Linked DNA regions of Kluyveromyces lactis. The protein of the gene in region 2 binds, or shares a complex with, the protein of the main gene of each other region. Links are inferred from orthologs where the notes say so. Each region holds a gene or a part of one and is shown on either strand. Other genes may lie near its edges.

What was found. Proteins that work in one complex are often made in the same cells at the same time.
Region 1: EMC10 (region 2) and EMC6 share a complex: the UniProt entries of both Saccharomyces cerevisiae proteins name them as parts of the ER membrane protein complex. The link is inferred for Kluyveromyces lactis from reciprocal best matches to the Saccharomyces cerevisiae genes EMC10 and EMC6.

Annotation. Positions count from the first base shown.
Region 1 is NC_006042.1:1,424,621-1,434,022, forward strand, and holds EMC6 (Emc6p), read left to right. Parts: upstream 1-3,787; coding exon 3,788-4,105; downstream 4,106-9,402. Other genes in the region: transcription factor IIF subunit TFG1, read left to right, coding at 1-2,031; HGH1 (Hgh1p), read right to left, coding at 2,217-3,377; mRNA-binding protein PUF3, read right to left, coding at 4,503-7,295; IZH3 (Izh3p), read left to right, coding at 8,874-9,402. UniProt on the Saccharomyces cerevisiae protein: Part of the endoplasmic reticulum membrane protein complex (EMC) that enables the energy-independent insertion into endoplasmic reticulum membranes of newly synthesized membrane proteins.
Region 2 is NC_006041.1:1,122,992-1,132,498, reverse strand, and holds EMC10 (Emc10p), read right to left. Parts: upstream 8,107-9,507; coding exon 7,534-8,106; downstream 1-7,533. Other genes in the region: TRM5 (tRNA (guanine) methyltransferase), read right to left, coding at 1-772; exosome non-catalytic core subunit RRP4, read left to right, coding at 801-2,114; OMS1 (putative RNA methyltransferase), read right to left, coding at 2,212-3,552; DYS1 (deoxyhypusine synthase), read right to left, coding at 3,863-5,002; IPK1 (inositol pentakisphosphate 2-kinase), read left to right, coding at 5,302-6,102; hydroxyacyl-thioester dehydratase HTD2, read right to left, coding at 6,111-6,926; YOS9 (Yos9p), read left to right, coding at 8,379-9,507. UniProt on the Saccharomyces cerevisiae protein: Part of the endoplasmic reticulum membrane protein complex (EMC) that enables the energy-independent insertion into endoplasmic reticulum membranes of newly synthesized membrane proteins.

The sequences.
Region 1 (9,402 bases), on a different chromosome or scaffold from region 2:
TCGCCCTTCATCAAGAGGGATCAGATGAGAAGGGAGTTCTTGAGAGCAAGACAAAGGAGTAACAATCCGAAGCCTATAGTAAAGAAAGAGGATCCCGAACAAGCTGCAGAAGAGGCTAGGAAGTTATTGCAGCCTGAGGCACTATCTAGAAGGGTTAAGAGGGAGCCAGGTAAGTCAGGGTATAGTGAGTTTCCATTGCGAGCAATTGACATGAGAGATAAAGAAAACGTTAAGACGAATTTGGTCAAATTTCAGTCTAAGAAACCAATAGACCCTGAGGATTTCCATTTACCCATCAGATTACATCGTAAGGATACTAGAAACTTGCAATTCCAGTTGACCAGAGCGGAAATTGTGCAAAGACAGAAGGAAATTGCGGAATTCAAGCAGAGACAACTCGAAGAAGCAGGAGGTGCAGGACCGGGTACTGGCGGTAGCAACTCAACGCCGACAGCATCTAAAGGTAACAGTACTGGTGGAAGTTTCTCTCAATCTAACGGGAAACCATATAATAGCAAACAAGGAACGCCAGTTCCAGGTACGTTGAATGGTCCAAAAGTGGGAGTAACTAATTATAATAATACAGATGGTCCTAACGTGAATAATAACGGTTCATCAAGTTCAGAGCTGAAAACTGGCACAGATTCCGGCTCTCCTCCAAATGGGAAAGAAGGAACTCCCAGCAATACCGTCACTATCCTTGAAGAGGCTGGAGTGGCAGAAGACCCAACTAAGGTCGGTATGGTTAAATATGATGGTAAGGCTGAACCTGAGATACACGAAGAAGGTACTATAGACCCTATGGCTGATGTTGCACCACATGGAGGTGGTCGTTTTAGAAGGGGTAATTCTAAAAGAAAGACAAGACAGTTGAAGAGATTAGATGAAGAAGCGAAAAGGTTAAGATTCGAAGAATTTTATCCATGGGTCATGGAAGATTTTGATGGTTTTAACACCTGGGTAGGTTCATACGAAGCAGGTAACTCAGACTCATATGTCCTTTTAAGTGTTGAAGACGACGGGAGCTTTACTATGATTCCTGCGGATAAAGTCTACCGTTTCACTGCAAGAAATAAATATAACACATTGACCATTGAAGAAGCCGAGAAAAGGATGGAGAAGAACAAAGAAGGTGCTCCTCGTTGGTTTATGAAGCATTTGGACGAGTCCAGTAAAACAACCACAAGATATGATAGAACCTTAAGAAGACTTAGAGCTGTCGATGGGAACACAAGACAGGCCGAAGATGATGAGGACCGTGGAGATAACTCAGAGGTCGAATTGGATTACGATGAAGAATTTGCGGATGATGAAGAAGCACCAATCATAGACGGTAATGAAGAAGAGAATAAGGAATCGGAACAAAGGATCAAGAAAGAAATGTTACAAGCTAATGCTTTGGGATTACGTGACGATGATGGGGAAGAGTCAGATGACGAACTATTTGGAGAGAAAAAAATTGACGAAGAAGGTGAAAAAGTCAAGAAAGCCCTCCTTAAAACAGATCTGGGTGCTTTATATGAATCTGATGCAGAAGAGAACCCATATCTATCACACTCTGAGGAAGATGAAGAGCAAGCTGATTCGGATAAGAAAGATTCCGAGAAGGATAATGAAAAGCAAAGTCGGAGATCCTCACCAAAGAAGAAAGCTTCTGACACACCATCAGGTCCACCAAAATTAGTAGTAAAAAGCATTAATCAAAATATCGTTGTACTAACTGGTGAGAAATCAGTATTATCGAACTTCCCTGCAGGAGCCTGGAATCCAAACTTGAAGAAACGTCCAGCAGAGTCTCAGCCACAAGAATCTATGGACAATAAGAGGGCAAAGTCTGATCACTCGGCAGATGATTTGTTAACGGAAGACGATATAATCAATGCAATTGAGGGCAAGCAGTTGACTTTGAAACAATTAATCAGACAATTGAAAGAAAAGGTCGGTAGACATCCTGACAATAAAGAAAGAATGAAGGTTTTTGTCAAGAAACTTGTTAAACTGAACGGTAAATTCCTCGAATTGAGTAAGTAGTTAACATAATTTCCTCGTTTTCAAACCTCTGGAGATATACATGTAGTGATAATTGATATATATCACCTGGGTCCAATTGGAAGGGGCAGGAAATAGCATATTGATATAGTCAGTTTATTAACAATAAGTACGCTTAAAATAAATATATGTTATTTGAAAACAAGATATCTATAGGAAGTTATCATTTATAAAACTTCGACGATAGCATCGTCATCATCGTCGGACTCTTCTTCTTCTTCTTCTTCTTCTATCTCGGCTATTTCGCCATCTTCCGCAGATTTGGCCACGATTTCTTCTATCACTTGATTCTCCGGCTCACCTCTCATCAACATGTTAACAATTCTATGAGATAATTCACCGATATCGTCATTTCCAATATTTTTATGTAACTCTCTGACCAATGGGTATACTGATTTCGATCTTAAGTATTCTCTGCCGGCTTTAGTGGTACAAAGCAATAAAATACTTTCTAAATGCACACATATGATTTCAGGAATAGGATCTCTCTCTTTGTCGGCAGGTAAGAGTTGCAATTCATCCGGTAGATTGAACATATCTTCTTCATCAATTTCGGAGTCTTTAGCTGATGCAATCGGTAGAAGAATATAAGGTAAAAGATTGATTTCCTCATTAGTCAAAAGGTTTTCATGCTTTTCGGAATCAAATAACGAATTCTTGATGGTATAAGCCACACCTTCTCTTCTGGTTTTAGCATCATACTTTTCAGTGAATACCAATAGTTTAGAAATTGGGATGACGCCGTCATACTCCTGCTGTTCAATGAAATACTCTCTACCAATCTTAAATCTCGAAATGTCGGCAAAGAAATAAGCTAAGTAGTCATAAGTGGCATATCTGTTCAACTTTCTATCGTAACCCTTCACAAAACAATCCATTAAGCAATCCATTACTTTGTTGCTTTTAAAGACTTCTATGTTTAATGGAATACCATCGTCTTCCTTCTTAACAAACGAAAACAATTCGGTAATATTGTCTTCCTTGGCGAGATTAGACAATAAAATACACATGATATCCGCACTTGCGTTAGCTAAATCACAGATTTTCCACGATAAGTACTGTAGGAATTCAGTATCCTTGACGATCAACTTTCTCATAGTAACATCATCACATAAATTCGCTAAAATCGTAGTGGATTGTTGAACGATAACTTTTGACTTATCTTTAGCTAGAACTTTTAGATCCTCTATAGCTTTGTAATTATTACATTTGAAAATGACAGCACTTGCTCCAGTTGAGAAGCCAACCAGATTATCAAGAGCAATCTGTCTGACGGCAGGCTGGTCTGAATGCAAAAATGACACTAATTCTTCTAATTCCGTGGACATCTTCCCTCTTTATCGTATCAAGTAAACGCAGATATTTCGAACAAAGATGTTTTATTGAACAATGAAAGTTATAGTTGATTAGCTGGTGAACAATACCTAGTTACACCAACTGCCAACGTAGATATGGTTGATGCGATGAGCTGCGATGAGTTTGTCAAACGTTTCTCAAGTTTCGTGAAAGAAAAGGTTCGACTCTTTAAGGCGGGTAACAATTACATCAGCATCAAACCGACAATAACAGATCTCCATCTTCAATTAAATGAATAGAACCACCGTTAGAAACAGAGCTTTTCAATCTGCGATTCGATTGATCCTTAAGTGCTGCATTTATCATAATAAATCACTTTTATTCTAGTCTTGGCTTATTGCAACCAATTGCAATCATAACTACGAGATAACAGCATTGGAAAATGAGTTATCGCTTCACCGACCTAAAGTCTTCCAAAAGTGGAAGTTTCAACAACAACAAACTACTACGGATACAGGATTCTACAATGCTGACAGCAGGACTTAGTGCTGGGATATTGCAACTTCAATCTTTTGCAGGTTTTGGAATGTTTTTTGCTGTTTATATCCTGGTGAACCTCATATTTATAGCGTGGTTTTGCAAATTCAAGCCTAGTCTATATTTTACTAATCCAGTGCATAAAATATGGGTTAAAAATCTATTCCGCGAGCTAGCTGGGTTTGTCATGACTTGGACGTTAGCGTTCACTTTGGTCAGGTAACGCATATGACACATTTTGCATTAACGGGTTGATTTCATCTGAACGATATCACCATTAGGATTCTAGAAGTACTATAATATTATGGTCATTAAAACTTATAGCAGAGATAAATATTTGCATGTATTATAAACAGGATGATGATAAACAATATGTACATTTAAAGGATATTAATTTATTAGGTAGTAATCTGTTCTCAACAACAGATTTTAGAAGATATTAAGATCTTCGTGAGAGATATCACGGGGATACAAAACGTAAGAAATGGCAATCTTCATCAATAGAATGATTTAGAAAGTGAACCAGTTATTAGGGAAAGAAAGCGTGGTTATCAAATGCAAATATTCGAGGCAGAACAATTTTTTTTGTCTTGCTTTCCCAAGTTGAGGCTGACATACATCTATATCTGAATTTTTTCCACCAAAGTTGCTAACTTTTCAACACTAGCCAAATGCCTGTTACCCAAAGTGTTATTTTTATTGGATTTATCCAAATAGGATCTGATGGAAATAACAATCAACCTCTCATCTTCACCAGTTGCGACACCCACGAGCTTTTGAACAACGTAGTTCGCGTATTGATCCCGCATCATTAGAATCAATGGTGCATTATCTTCCAAATCAGCGGCGTGCTCTTCGTCTCTTGGTAGAATTTGATCCAAAATCTGTCTTATCTGGTTTTTGGATCCGTAAACTACTGACTTTTCAACAACATTGGAGGCAAATTTGTGTTTTGAATATTCAACAACATTCTTACGAATGATATCGATGATATTTTGTTTACTCATTCCTATGTGACTGCTCGTATCTTCAGTTCCATGCTGTAAAATATGCTGAATTACGTAGTTACCGTATTGATCCTGGATCAAGAATGGGATGAATTCATCCAAGTCATTCAAAATATCATCTTGGTCCTTTAGAGTTCCAAATTCCAATAGTCTTTGAACTACACGGCAACCGTAAGAATGCGTTGATAAATGATAGATTTGTCCTCTTAAACTTTGGAGAATAAATGGTAATTTTTCAATCGGAATACACTCGATGGCTTTTTGTATAACATGGTTACCATTCTGGTCTTTGATCATAGCTAAAACACAATGGGAAAGTTCAGATACGAGATCAACCTTTTGATCTTCATTTAGGAATTCAAATGCCTTTTGTATAACACGGCAAGCATACATTTCTAACGACAAGTTCTCCATTTTGCCTCTGAATTGATCCACTAATACCTCCCTTTGTGTTTTTGTACCATGTTCAAAGAATTTTTGAATGACATAGTTACCGAACACGTCATGAGATAATGGTATACATTGGTCTCTAATCTCATTGAAGATTACTTCCTTATCAGCATCAGAAGCTGTTGCCAATTCCTGTTGGATAAATCTGGAACCATGTTGATCTTTACAGAACTCTAAAGCGGAGCCGTAAATATCGCTAAGTTTGTAAACTTTATTGGAAGAATTGTTCCTGAATTCCTCCAATAATGGGGATCTAACGATAGGCTGTTTGTTATTCTGGCGAGCATTTTTACCTTGGCGACCCTGTTTGTTTGCACCTGAACCTGAAGAACTTTGCAAAGTGTTTGGGGGCACTGCCATACCTGCCCTACTTGGTGGCGGAGAGAATTGTGAATATTGAGCCTTACCTGCGTGCAGGTATGGATTTGATTTATTTTTGCCAGAGTATTTAGAATCGTTATTTCTCTTGTTAGAACCGGAACCATTGTCTGCGGATGGAGGGGAGCTTGGAGCGTCTTGTAAGTTACCTGGACGTGGTTGCATAGATGGAGGCATGAACATGTAAGGATTTGGTGGCAAGAAAGTAGGGCTCAAAGGAGGTTTAACAGTTTCACTATCCTTATTATTTTCTGTGTCATCTTCTTTGATTGGAGCATACATGAAAGGATATGGACTGGGGAATGGATAAGGAGCCATTGGATGTGGCATCATCGTTGGATGATTACCTGTTTCACCTGATGTCTCTGATAATTCGGACTCGTGTTGGTTCTTTCTAGAAGCGGAAGCCTCTTTGGTAACACCATCAGTAGTCTCGACATCTTGACTGTTATCGTTGGATCCATTCATACCTGGGAATGGTTGTGGTGGTGGAGACAGCACAGGAGGTAAAAACATGGGCATTCCAAATTGATTAAACCCAGGATAACCATAGTTGAAAGGAGCTGCCTGCTGATTAGCAAACGAGGCAGGGTCATTTGGATCAATGTCCTGGTCACTTGGAAAAGGAGCAGTTTTGCCGTCCTTAGAACGACGGTAAGAGAATTGAGGCTGGAATTGAGGCTGACGTTGATGCAGTGGAGATTGCTGCTGCTGCTGTTGTTGTTGGTAGTGGTATTGTTGTTGCATGTGTTCGGCATTCTGAGGTCTGAATACGGGTGCAGCAGCCACGTTCCAAATGGTAGTAGAATTAGGCTCATTATTTTGCATCGATAAACTTTCACTAACGGAGTCCAACACTTCAGAGGTATCCGACATTCTTCTTGCACCATGCAGCGTCGTATTAGATCCGACTCTCGATAAATGCTCCAAGCCTGTGGTTGCAGATGCTCTTCTCGAGCCAGTACCAGCGTGATTCGAACTCGAAGGAGGCCCACCAACGTTAACACTACCCACACCCACATTCAATTCCACTTCACGAGTACCCTCAGCTAAGGCACGACCAAACCTTTCGAAAAATCCAGATGTAACTGAACTATTATTGACACCGATCGAATTAGAATTAGTCACGCTTCCGTTGTAACTGTTCAAGTTCGGATTATTATTATTTTGGAATTGAGCTGTCAGACCACCAGCGATACTGGCAGAGTAATGGTTCATGGCATTCAATCTATTCTGAGCGTGGGACGAAGAGTTCTCAGGCAGAGACATCCCGCCTACAGACAGAGTAGTTCTCCTCAACATGGGAGAATTCTGTGTATTGAAAAAGATCTCTGAGTCCACATCGCTTCCCGTATTACTATTGAAAGAGGCCCTTCTGAACCCACCAATCTGTTGCTGCTGCTGCGCCTGTACTTGCTGCTGTTGAACCTGCTGCTGTGCTTGTTGCTGTACATTCGGATTTGACAGTGCCGAAAGCGACGAGACTATTGATGCTAATTCAGAATCAATCTGGGTATTATTATCCTTATCGTCAGAAACAGCGGTATTCCAGCCGTTCAGTTGCTCTGAAAGTGACATCTTAACAAGATTTGAGTACTCTAAACCACTGACAACTAACTTGGGAACCGCAAATACCAATATAAAGTAAAAATGCGAAGATCAACGACAATGTAGTATTAACAAAAATTGAGGAACGACAAAGGGAACTCTGGTCCCAAGAAACAAAACAAAGAAAAATGGGGGAAAAAAAAAGTGATACACTAAATGCAGTTCACCCAAGCCTAAGGTACCTGGAGAGTAAAGCTGTAACAAAGGACAAACTCAGAAAAGACTATATATGCCGCGAACTGGAGTGTCCTTTACTCCAGAGTACTTTAATATCCAATGGATAGTTTCAATATCCATAAAAACGTAAATTAAACAAAATATGAAAAGTTCAAAATGTTGATAATCGATAATTCCAGGTTTTCTCATGAAAAGACAATGAAAGCCAGAAGACGAATCCCTCGACGGTTATGTTCCGTTCTTGCAGGGCATAGTTCGACAGGGGAACCAGTTCGGAAAAACCAGAAAAATTAAATCATGTCCGGGTAGTAGTTTTTAAAAGGTCGCCCGTTCGAGTCCCCTATGTTCTCGAATTTTAGTAAAAAAAAAGTATAAATTTATAGGAGTTTCATGATAGGCATTATTTCGAGAACCCGGTCTAGATTGAGACCAAAAGAAATGAAACTAAAAGGAAGGTAAAGGGAAACGAAAAGAAAGAGGAATAACATGTCAGTTCTTCTCCATGTATTCTAGGTCATTAGTTAAGCCTTTTTTTATTTCCTTTTTATGGCTGAGTAGACTGAACTGGACTGGACCGGCTACAAAATGGGAACGCGGAGGAGGGTAACATGGCAGTGCGTGTCCCACGCACTTGCAAACTCACCCAAACTGATCCCTGAGTCCATCCATACTATCTGTCCCTCCACATTTTTGTTTCGGAAAAGATCGGCCAGAGATCTTGTTTCTTGTCCTAGGAGAATAAGAAGAAAAAAGACCAATATTCTGGCCTGGCTAGAATATGATGGGTGTACGACACGTTCTTATTGTTACGAGTAGCGTATTATGAATTAAGTAATAAGAGAAGACGGTGAATGGAACAAACTGAATACATGCCGTGTTCTTGTTCGAAGAATATCCGAGTGAACCGTGATTGTATAATAGAGACGGCCGGAAACATGTGTAGTATCTGTGAATGAGATTTTTGAAATTTTCGGTTAATTCGAAATTTGAAATTTGATGTGATATCAATTCCATATGCTTTATATAACAAGATGAATTTATATATTCCGCAGTATGAGCTGGTTTGAAAGGGAAACTACTACTGCAAGACATATCACAAGTTTCAATACTATTCCATACCATACCAAACGTCCTTTTTCAAGACTAGGATATTCACCGTTAAACTATACACATTTCCGTCTACTGAATCCAGATCCTTTTTCTTTTTTTTCCATTTTAGTTTGAGCTAAATTATACTTCGTCTTTGGGTATATATTACAAGAGACAAGAACACCATCACATTCCTTTCTATTTGTATTAGTTAACTCCTTCACCCTGTTATTGCCAGGCTCAGTTTCGCTCTTTTTTTCATTCAGGTAGCTCCGATACATCATGTCAAAGTCTGAAGATTTTATTATGGAATATACCTCGGAAAATGTCACTGGAGTTGACAACGAGTTCAGTCTCAGTTCCGAAGATGAATACGTCGCGCTAACAAGACTTGCACGGTTCATCAAATCAGCAAATCAGAAACTAGAGAAATTGGAGTCCGTGCTTCCTTCAACTTCTGTCGCTACGACGACAAGTTTGCCCAGACAAGGGTTTAACAAGTTAAGACAAAGAGGCCGTAAATTTTTGAGATGGAACAACAAGCCTGTCGAGGCTGAGAAAGAGGTTTCATATCAAGATTTCATCAACAATCCAGACGCACCAGCGTTTTATAGGTTTTTGAAACGTACCACGGAAGAGTTAACAGCTGTTTTGCCTGAGAATGACACTGAAACTATGATTGCTGAAGAGTTCGAAAGAAGTTTGAACAGGTCTTCAATCACTTCTCCGTTGTTAAAATTCTCACAGATTTACGATGATCATTTCACTTCGTTTGCTTCTAGCTCTACGACTCTTCACTCCTCGACAAAGG
Region 2 (9,507 bases):
AGTTCCAGTACACTTTACTGAAATCGAAAGTGAATGAACAATCAGATTCCCTTTGAGTCACTAGCAGGTTCGGTTCACCCGCTAGGACGTTCATTTCGAAAGTTCTGAATTTGGTAGCAATGGAATCCACTTTATCGACCACGGTCTTGATCGTCGAATTCTTGTCCAAGATGACTTGTCCAATTATTTCACCAAACGGTTTGAACTCTTTCCTTAAATTCAAATGAGCTACGTGTCCCACAATAGTGAACCCAGTAGGAATCTCAGCAAGGTACTCCTCTGGTAAAATTGCATTTAGAATCTCTTCCACTTTCCAGAAGTCATAATCTAGCACATACTCATGGTTTCTCAACTCATACTCTTGCTCATCAAGAAATTCTAGTGCATTGGAGGTCAACTTCCCTCTCGCCTGCGAAACATCTTGTATACTGTCTTTTAGTATGATACCTTTGGTTATATGGTTGTCATTGGCCAGGGATTTGCTTTTCTTCTGTACTGGCTCGACATCGTTCTTATCAGTATCTTCTTTTGGTGTTTCGCCAAGTCTTATAACGAATGGAATTCTTGGTGTCCTTAATATATCGTCCTTGAACTTCTTGGTGAAGACAGAAATATTCTTTGGATTCTTCAATAGCAATACAACAACAGGAAGCTTCTTTACGAATAATGATTTATCTAATTGTTTCATGCCACGATGCACTGGTGGTTCATATTTGAACGTAGTTTCAATAGCTCTACTCATTGTTCTTCGAAGCACTAGGCCAAACCTCATAAAACTAGTCCTCCTCTATCCTTGAAAAATGGAGCAAAATAGTGTGCTATCACTTCACCAAATAAAACGCTGCCTGACGGTCGATCTTTGCTGCAACATTTTTACATCTTTTACAACGCTCATCTCATCTCATCTCATCGCTCTCTTATTTAATTTGGAAAATTTTCAGTTAACTAACACCAAAAGTAACAAAGGTACAGCGAGGAAGTCAGCACATCGAACGCCTTCTGCAGTCCCTGACATCGTTATATCATTACTTGGAACAATGAGTGATGTTATTAGTGTTATCAATAGGAACGAATTTTGGTCTAATGGCCGTTTAGAACAGGATGAATATGAATCAGATTCCAGCTCAGGTTCAGAGCAAGAACATGACATTGAGATGAGCGGTGCTCACGATTCCAATGGTGGAATAGACCATCAGGATGGGTCTATTGTCACACCTGGTGAATTAATAACCGATGATCCTATATGGATGAAGGGTCATGGTACTTATTTCTTGGAAAACAAGACATACAGTTCTGTGGTTGGCACAGTATCGAGAGTGAATAGATTGCTATCCGTTTTACCATTAAAATCTCGTTATATTCCCGAAACAGGTGACCACATCGTGGGTAGAATCACTGATGTTGGTAATAGAAGGTGGAAAGTGGATATTGGAGCCAAACAGTATGCGGTTTTGATGTTGGGTTCTGTTAATTTACCAGGTGGTGTATTGAGACGTAAGTCAGAGACAGATGAGTTGCAAATGAGAAACTTCTTGAAAGAAGGTGATCTACTAAACGCTGAAGTCCAATCGTTGTTCCAAGACGGTTCAGCTTCATTACATACCAGATCGTTGAAATATGGGAAACTAAGGAATGGTACGTTTGTTCAAGTCCCAAGTTCCCTAATAGTGAGATCTAAAAATCATACACATAATCTTCCAGGGAATGTCACCATTATCTTGGGTGTAAATGGGTTCGTATGGATAAGGAAATCCTCCAAGATGGATCTTTCCGGTAAGACCACTACTACAGGTTCAGGACAATCTGACCATTTACCAGGATCCAACAATGCAATGTCGGTTTCCATTACAAGATTGGAAGAAGAGAGTTCTTGGGAAATATATTCGGATAAAAATGATACTGTTACTGTAAGCGTTAGGCAAACAATCACAAGATATGCAAACGTAATTAAGGCGTTAGCACATTGCGAACTCGGTATCACTGAGCCAAGAATAATATCCGCATATGAGGCTTCAATGGCTTATGGTAACTTGGGACAGTTAATTGAATCGGAGACGATGGAGTCCTTAGGTCAAGACGTCATCAACTCAGAGAAGATGAGGGGAGCAGCATAGGTTGTAATCGGTAATATTAATATTTACATGAAGTAGTATTTTATAAATAAAGTGCATAATATTTACAAATAATAAAATCTTTTCGATAAGAGTACCATCATTTGGATGTCTCAGATGTTGGTTTATTATGGGTAGCTTGTAGCGAGTCTTGCTTCTTTCCATCGTTTGTGAAAGATTCAATTCTGCTCTTAACACTAGCACCAAGATACTTTTCAAAGAAGCCAATTTCTTCTTTCTTCTTACCGTCACCTTTACGCTTGGCAACAATACACCATGTCGTACCGAAATGTGTTCTTCTTTCTTCGACGACATCCAATCCAGAATCGTCAAGGATTTCTCCGATATCCAAGTTCCATCTACAACCCCATGTCTTTAAACGTTTCTCAGCTCTATCGTCAAGAATTTTGTTGATTGTATCGTATGAACCTCTTCCGTGTTCCAAGAGAATGATTCTACCGCCAGGTTTCAACAATTCAGCAAAATTCTTCAAAGATTTTACAGGATCGTGATGTGAACAAAGACCAAACGCTTCAACAATAGTATCATACTTAACAGGTGTCTCCTTCGAGTTCAAGTCGATCAAATCTTCCGCTTTCCCTACAACAAATGCACATTTCTTGAAATTGGGTAGTGCTTCTCTGAATTTTTTATTTGTGATTTCCATCATCTTTTCCGATGCATCCAAGAATGTGATTGAGTTGATCTTCGTTGGGTCTAAATATTTGATATTCCTACCAGTACCACAAGCGACTTCGAGAACATCTCCTTTACAATGTTTCATGAGCCACTTACGTCTTTTACCCATTCTGATCATCATTTCTTCAAAACTCACACCCTCATCGTACTCTTCTGCCTTCATTTCATAGAAATCAGTGGTATCCCTAGCAGGTAGAATTTTCTCGTTAATCTTGTTTTGATCGTTGTTTTCCAAGGTAATCTTATCCAAATTCTCAGTCCCATCTTTCTCTATAATCTTTTGGTATTGTTTCAATTTCTCCACATCTCTTGTTCTTAACGTATTTTTTAGTTCCTTATAGCGCAACAACTCATATTCATTTGCTACTCCCATATCAATCTTTGCACTAATATCTTCTAACTCCTTGTCCTTCTTATAAAGCTTCTTGGTATAGTTTAACCCATATAGAATGAACACCACATATGCGGCAAGAATGTATTTCGTTAAAGCTTTCGAAAACTTCTCGGACCTTGCAATGGCCCCGTACCTAATAATCCAGTTGTCAGATTTCAAATCCGCTTCATGCTTCTCCCTAGCAATCTGCTCCTTTGATTTAGGCTTCTTGTAAACGGAATCTGGAGAAGGTATGTATGTACTTTTGCAGCGTACAAGATCAAGAACCTTATATCCCGAACCTAAGCTTGGCCCACATTGCGTTACTCTCAATGGCCCCCGCAAGAAATTGCGTCTGACAGCAAACATTAGTGAAACAGATCACAGGTGATTCTTGAGACCCTGTTAAAACAGACCAGAAGACCATATCGGAAGGCTGTTTTGTCGGTTCTTTTGCGTTAACTCAAGATAAAGAGAGAGCGAGATGAGACGGTTTCGAGGTTGAATCGATCTTGAAAAATTTAGAATATCACGTGGTACAATTGGGTTGAGTGAATGTCTTAATAACCAAGTGGTGTTGACCCAATCCAACACCACTGACAACAATGAATTCTCATGCAGTTGGCTCAGACTCGAGGTTATGAATATATACAGATATCTATTGTTTTTATAAAGTGTTCTATTCGCTAGCAAAAGTGGCAGCGACGACTAATGGGAAAACGACAGTGGCATCTGCATAGACCTTAACGGACTTAGCGTCTGCTTTAATCTTACCCCAGGAAACAGCCTCATCTGGTCTTGCACCAGCATCAGAACCGTCAAATTCTTGACCCGTGTTGATATAAACAGCGTAATCTGCACCGTTTCTCATCAAACATGCGTTTGCGATGTGATGTTTGATTAACCCACCACCAAGGATAATCATACCTGCCCGTGATGCTTCCATAGACATAGAGTTAATCTTACGAATATCAGAAACAATATCTAGTCTCAACTGTTTAGGAGATGCCTTGAAGGTATGGAAAAACAACATATCACCAATGGAACCATCGGTGACAGCAGGACAAAAGATTGGGATATCGTTCTTATAAGCCCAGTATAGAACACTGGATTCATCGTTGATCTCTTTACCTAACCTACGGATCAACTTGGAAGGAGTCCATACCGGAGAGTCTTGATCGAAGTTGCTATCCAAACAGTCTTTACCCTGAGATTCGACGTAGTTTTCTTGTTCTTCAAGCATCTTGTCCAAGATTGGAACGATCCATTCTTCAAACTTACAATAGTTGTCGTTAGGAACCAGCAAATTACCAATACGGTTCATACCTTGGTCACGTAACCCTTTACCAGGTAAAGAAAACTCACCAAGGTAAGTGTCAGCCAAACACTTGATGATATCTTCTTCAACACCGCCTGCAGTTGCAACAATGGCATCGACCATCTTATTCTGAACCAAGAAACGTAAAGTCTCACGCAAGCCAGAAGAAATCAAATTCGAAGTGTAACCCATAAAGATAGTAGTCTTTTGGTACCCATCATTGTCAAAAGAACCCTTGCGGTCATGTTCTTCCAACTTGTCACGATGTTCACCTCTCCAGGATCTCATCTCATCGATAATATCGCAGGCTTTTCCCAAAGAAGACGCCTGGAAGCCCATAGTAGCCATCGATTTAATTAAATCCTTAGAACGCATGTTGCGTGATTCTGGTTTGCTGTAATCAATACCTTCGACCTTAACAAAATTATCAGGCACTGGAACAGATTGCTTCAACACAGCATCGCTTAAGATGTCAGGTAATTTACCGTCAATGTTGGACATCTTTTCGTTGTAAGTTAGTAGGTAAGTTGGTAGAGCACTTCTTTCTGAACAATGAAGCTCCAATCGCCTAAGTATAATGTGGTGAATCAGGTTATAGATCAGAGTTAATACCGTCTTGTTCTTACAGTTGTAAAGTTCATGCGGTGAGAAGTGAAAAATTCCTAAAAGGTAAAGCCTTTTAGTTTTATAAATCTCTAATCTGGTGACGAGATGACAAGTCAAAGAAACGATGCTGCACCACGATTAAACACATGACCTACTTTTTGGGTTTGCCTTGGTTCTTTGTGTGAAACTATGGTATGACTCTATTGTTCGTTGGTAGAGGCAATGCTAATGTTTGCTATCTCCTTTCTGGTGAAGTGTACCGTATCAGCTTAAGGCACCAGAAACTTTCCAGGAACAATGCATATGTGCAGGACAACTTCCAGTTTATCGATTCCAAGATCAGGTCACTTCCTATGTTGGCCGATGTGGTTGTTTCCATGAGGTTAGAAGAGGTGTTTGTCGATACAAAATGGATTAATGTGTTGAAAGATGAGAATATCTTAATCGATGATAGTCATATGCAATGCATAGTCATGCCTTTATTGCATGCCAAGGATAGTACATGTGAACAGTTGGACCATTTCAATCAAATCTATCGATGCTCATTGAATGATGCTATTACTTGGGAATTCAAGCCAAAGTGGTTGTATCAATCTAGTGATTATTGTAGGAATTGTACACATAACTCGCTGAAGGGAAGAGATATTGAGTACTGTTTTTTACATGATCCGGAGCTGATTATCGAAACGCTGTTTGCAGGACGCCAAGTGCCAGAAGAATTTCTTGATGACATTCTGCAGTATCTCCAATCAAGTGACAGTATTACACAGAGGCTCTATGCTGCTCAGCGTTTTGTGAAAGATGATTTGTCAACGCTAATGACGCTAAGAGATGTGACCTGTTTCTTGACCTGGTCCCGCAATACAAGGAGCGTCAAGGCTACGATAATAGATGTTGATCAAAAACCAGCAAACAAACTGCGGCATTGGCAGAGTACTGAATCCGCTCTTGCATCTTTCCCAGGAAAGAAGAAGGCTCATTTCAACCACCAATGATTGTACTTTTACTCTATATGTATACATGAAGCTATCTTACACTCAAAGTAAACCTTATGTGAATCCTTAGGATCTCTCAATATTATACTGATTTGACCATCCTTCCCGAGTCCATTGTGACAGATTTCAAGATCTGTGCCAGCATACACATGAGACGTATTCTTGTATTTTATGCTGGAGACTTGTCTTCCAAAACATTGTTCGAAATAGTTGATCACCAATTGAACCAAAAACGGGCCCTGTACTATAACATCACGGTATCCCTCTACGTTGCGCGAATAGTCCCTATCCCAATGTATTCTATGAGGATTCGAACTGATCGAACTGTAAACCATGACATCGATATCTTCCAAATTGATGATTTCTCGGGTACTGTAATCTTCGGACTTGGTTATTACTTTATCTGAGACTTTTTGATTAGTATATATCAACGTTCTTAACTCTTTAACATATAGGTACCCCTTTTCGTCTCGTATAGTTCTCTTCAACCCTACGAAATGGTCTTTGTTCAGTTCTTTGATGAATTTAAGTTCTTCTTGACAATTGTACCAGCCATCTGTCAGTGATTTCTTGAACTCAATTGATCCCTGAACCCACATGCGACGCCGAAAGGGCACTTCACGTTTCAATATAGCACCAGGAGTCTGGTACGAGTAGTATCCGTCTTCGCTGAGGGCAGCTGTTACTGGATGGAAGAACAATAAATGTGAACCTGAAAGCGATATATCGTTTGATACTTTTGCTTTTGGCAAGATAGATGTAACCAAAGTCTGATACCTCTGTACCGTCACCGGATTGATGTAATCACTGATATGCCACTGCATTGCCGCGAAAACTAACAGCTATGTGGATATGGTTGGCTTTTAAGGATTCCCTTTTTTTTCTATACTGTTTGATGTGAGGTTTACGATTGAATGCCCAACAGTTTTAAATTCATTCATTACTTGTTTATGACGATATACAGGTAAATAAATTAAATAAGATGTGAAGTGGGATACAGTTCTATCGAGTTGGTAGTAAACACTACTGTGCATGATATCGTGAAGCTGATTGGCAGTCTAATTGACTGGAAAGTCAAGTGCAAAGTGAATTATCGTAACAGCAACTACAGTGTTACAGTGCAAATGAGAAAAGCATGATCGATTGTTGATAAGAAGTGAGTAATGGAGTTGCTTAGTTTCGATCCTTTTAAAAAGCCAACATTGGTAAATCTTTCACTTCAGTCTTTCCATCGAGCACTCAATTAATAAACTCAAGGCAAATTGCTCATCAAAATAATCCATGTCACTAATTGTAATACATTTCGTATTCGTAGAGTTAATTGAATGTTTCAACCACTCCTATCCTATCCAAGCAATAAAAGTCAGTCGTCTGGTCATTTCTTTGTCTTCTTGAACGTATATATACGTAGCAAGATGGTAAAACATGAAATTATTTCTGTGATCCACTGGATAAAAAGACATAGGCGAGTAGCCCTATGACAACGTACTTCCAGTTTTTCTGAAGAAACGTTTTGTTCTCTACAACATCTTCTTCAAATGCAGCGGTCCCTGTATCCTTTCTCTGAGCTTTTTTCTTTGCCTCGTAAGTCAGAGTTCTTTTCTTCAACTTGATACTTTCCGGTATGGGACCATTTCCAACCTCCTTTATCAGTGGTACGATGCCATCAATACTATCATCTGCATGAATCGACATACGAACTAGTTTATCATCAAGTACCACCAGCTCCAGTTCGTATGACAATGGTTGCTTTATATGGATGAAAGAGAAACACTCATCGTAATAATCTTGAAAAGTCCCACAAACTTTATATTCACCGTCTGTAATTCGATTGGCTGTCACAGCCAGGTTAATACCTACCTCATCACCAGCTTCGAAAGTTGCCAGGCTGTACCTTTCATTCAAATTGTTCAATAAGTAAAGATCACCAGTACCTTGTAGAGATGCCACTACCGCACGCAAGTGAAACAGAAGTATTAGTAACAATTGAATCATTTTTAGCATAGCTAATTATTTGAAGATAAATCCAACCAGTTTTCCGCTGTGTTATATGATGGAAACACCAGTCTATGCTGTGAGATTCATCCTTTTTATTATTACATTTATTCAGTTTAAGGTTTAAAATTGGATTAATTCGATTAATTGGATTCTTATATTACAAACGTTTAAGTTTACTTAGTGGAAAGTACAAAAATGATATACGGAGCTATTATTTGTTGGCGCATTGTTGTCAATTCGTCAGAGGTTGATTGTAGCTAGTGTATCTGCCGCCTTATATGATATTTTTACCAGTTACGTCGGTGGTGTTTGCTATCTCATGGATTTATTCAGGTGTCTCAGCATTCAATCCATATAGCTCTACGCCTTATTCGCTAAAATACGTTGATGAGCAAGAGTTCCTAAGTGTAATAGATAATGAGACATTGCTCCAAGAAGGACGGCTTTTCCGCCCCTACGAAGGGTCCGATGTTTTGTGTTACCAAAGGAACACTTCGTCGTTGATTCAACATCATGAAGAAGATACTTTTAATTCTGAAGGAGCTCTCATTGAAGCAGTTAACATGGTTAATGCGATCTTGGCTCCAAACCCTATTGAAATGAATACAGTGCCTATTTCTTACTGGACTTATATTATATCCTCTGGTGAGACGAGGACTGTTGTGCAAAAAGGTTATTTTGGCGAAACGTACCTTTTAGGGAACTCATCTAACTACAACTCAACTATTGATTATCACTTTGCTAAGAGTAAAACTGGTAGAGTGTATCTTAGCGAAACTTTGGTAGATGGTTGCACTTGTGATCTTACACATAAACCAAGAGAGGTAGAAATACAATACATCTGCCCTAAACGTCCACTATCGAGGCCTTTCCATCTTGAAGTTAGAGAAATACAATCCTGCAAGTACCAATTGAGACTGTTTCTACCACAGTTATGTGAACTTAGCTCATTCAATCCGTTGCTTGGTCAATTATCTGAACACAACATAATATGCCATAGAAGCGGCAGCAAATTGAGTCCTGCCCTTGATATATTCAACAGGTATTCGGCTACTGTACTTGATCATGGCATATACCTATTAAAACCTAAAAATAGTGCGAAGGATAGGCGTCAATTGATGTATCACGCTGCTGAACCACTGGATTCTCAAACTACCCTCTTTGAGCTCACAGTAGAAGAAAGGTTTATTGGAGACTTCATATCTAGTCTTAAGAAATTGATTGGTTCGGACTTTATACAATCACCCACCGGGAAATCGATCAAACCTGGTGATCTATTTCTATGGAGAGCGCCTGTAGTAGATGAAACGGGAAATCTGCTATTTTTAATTGACTTGGAATTGAATTCAGCCTCGGAAGCGATTGGGAAGGTGAATAATGATGCCTCCCTTTTAAATGAATTGCCGA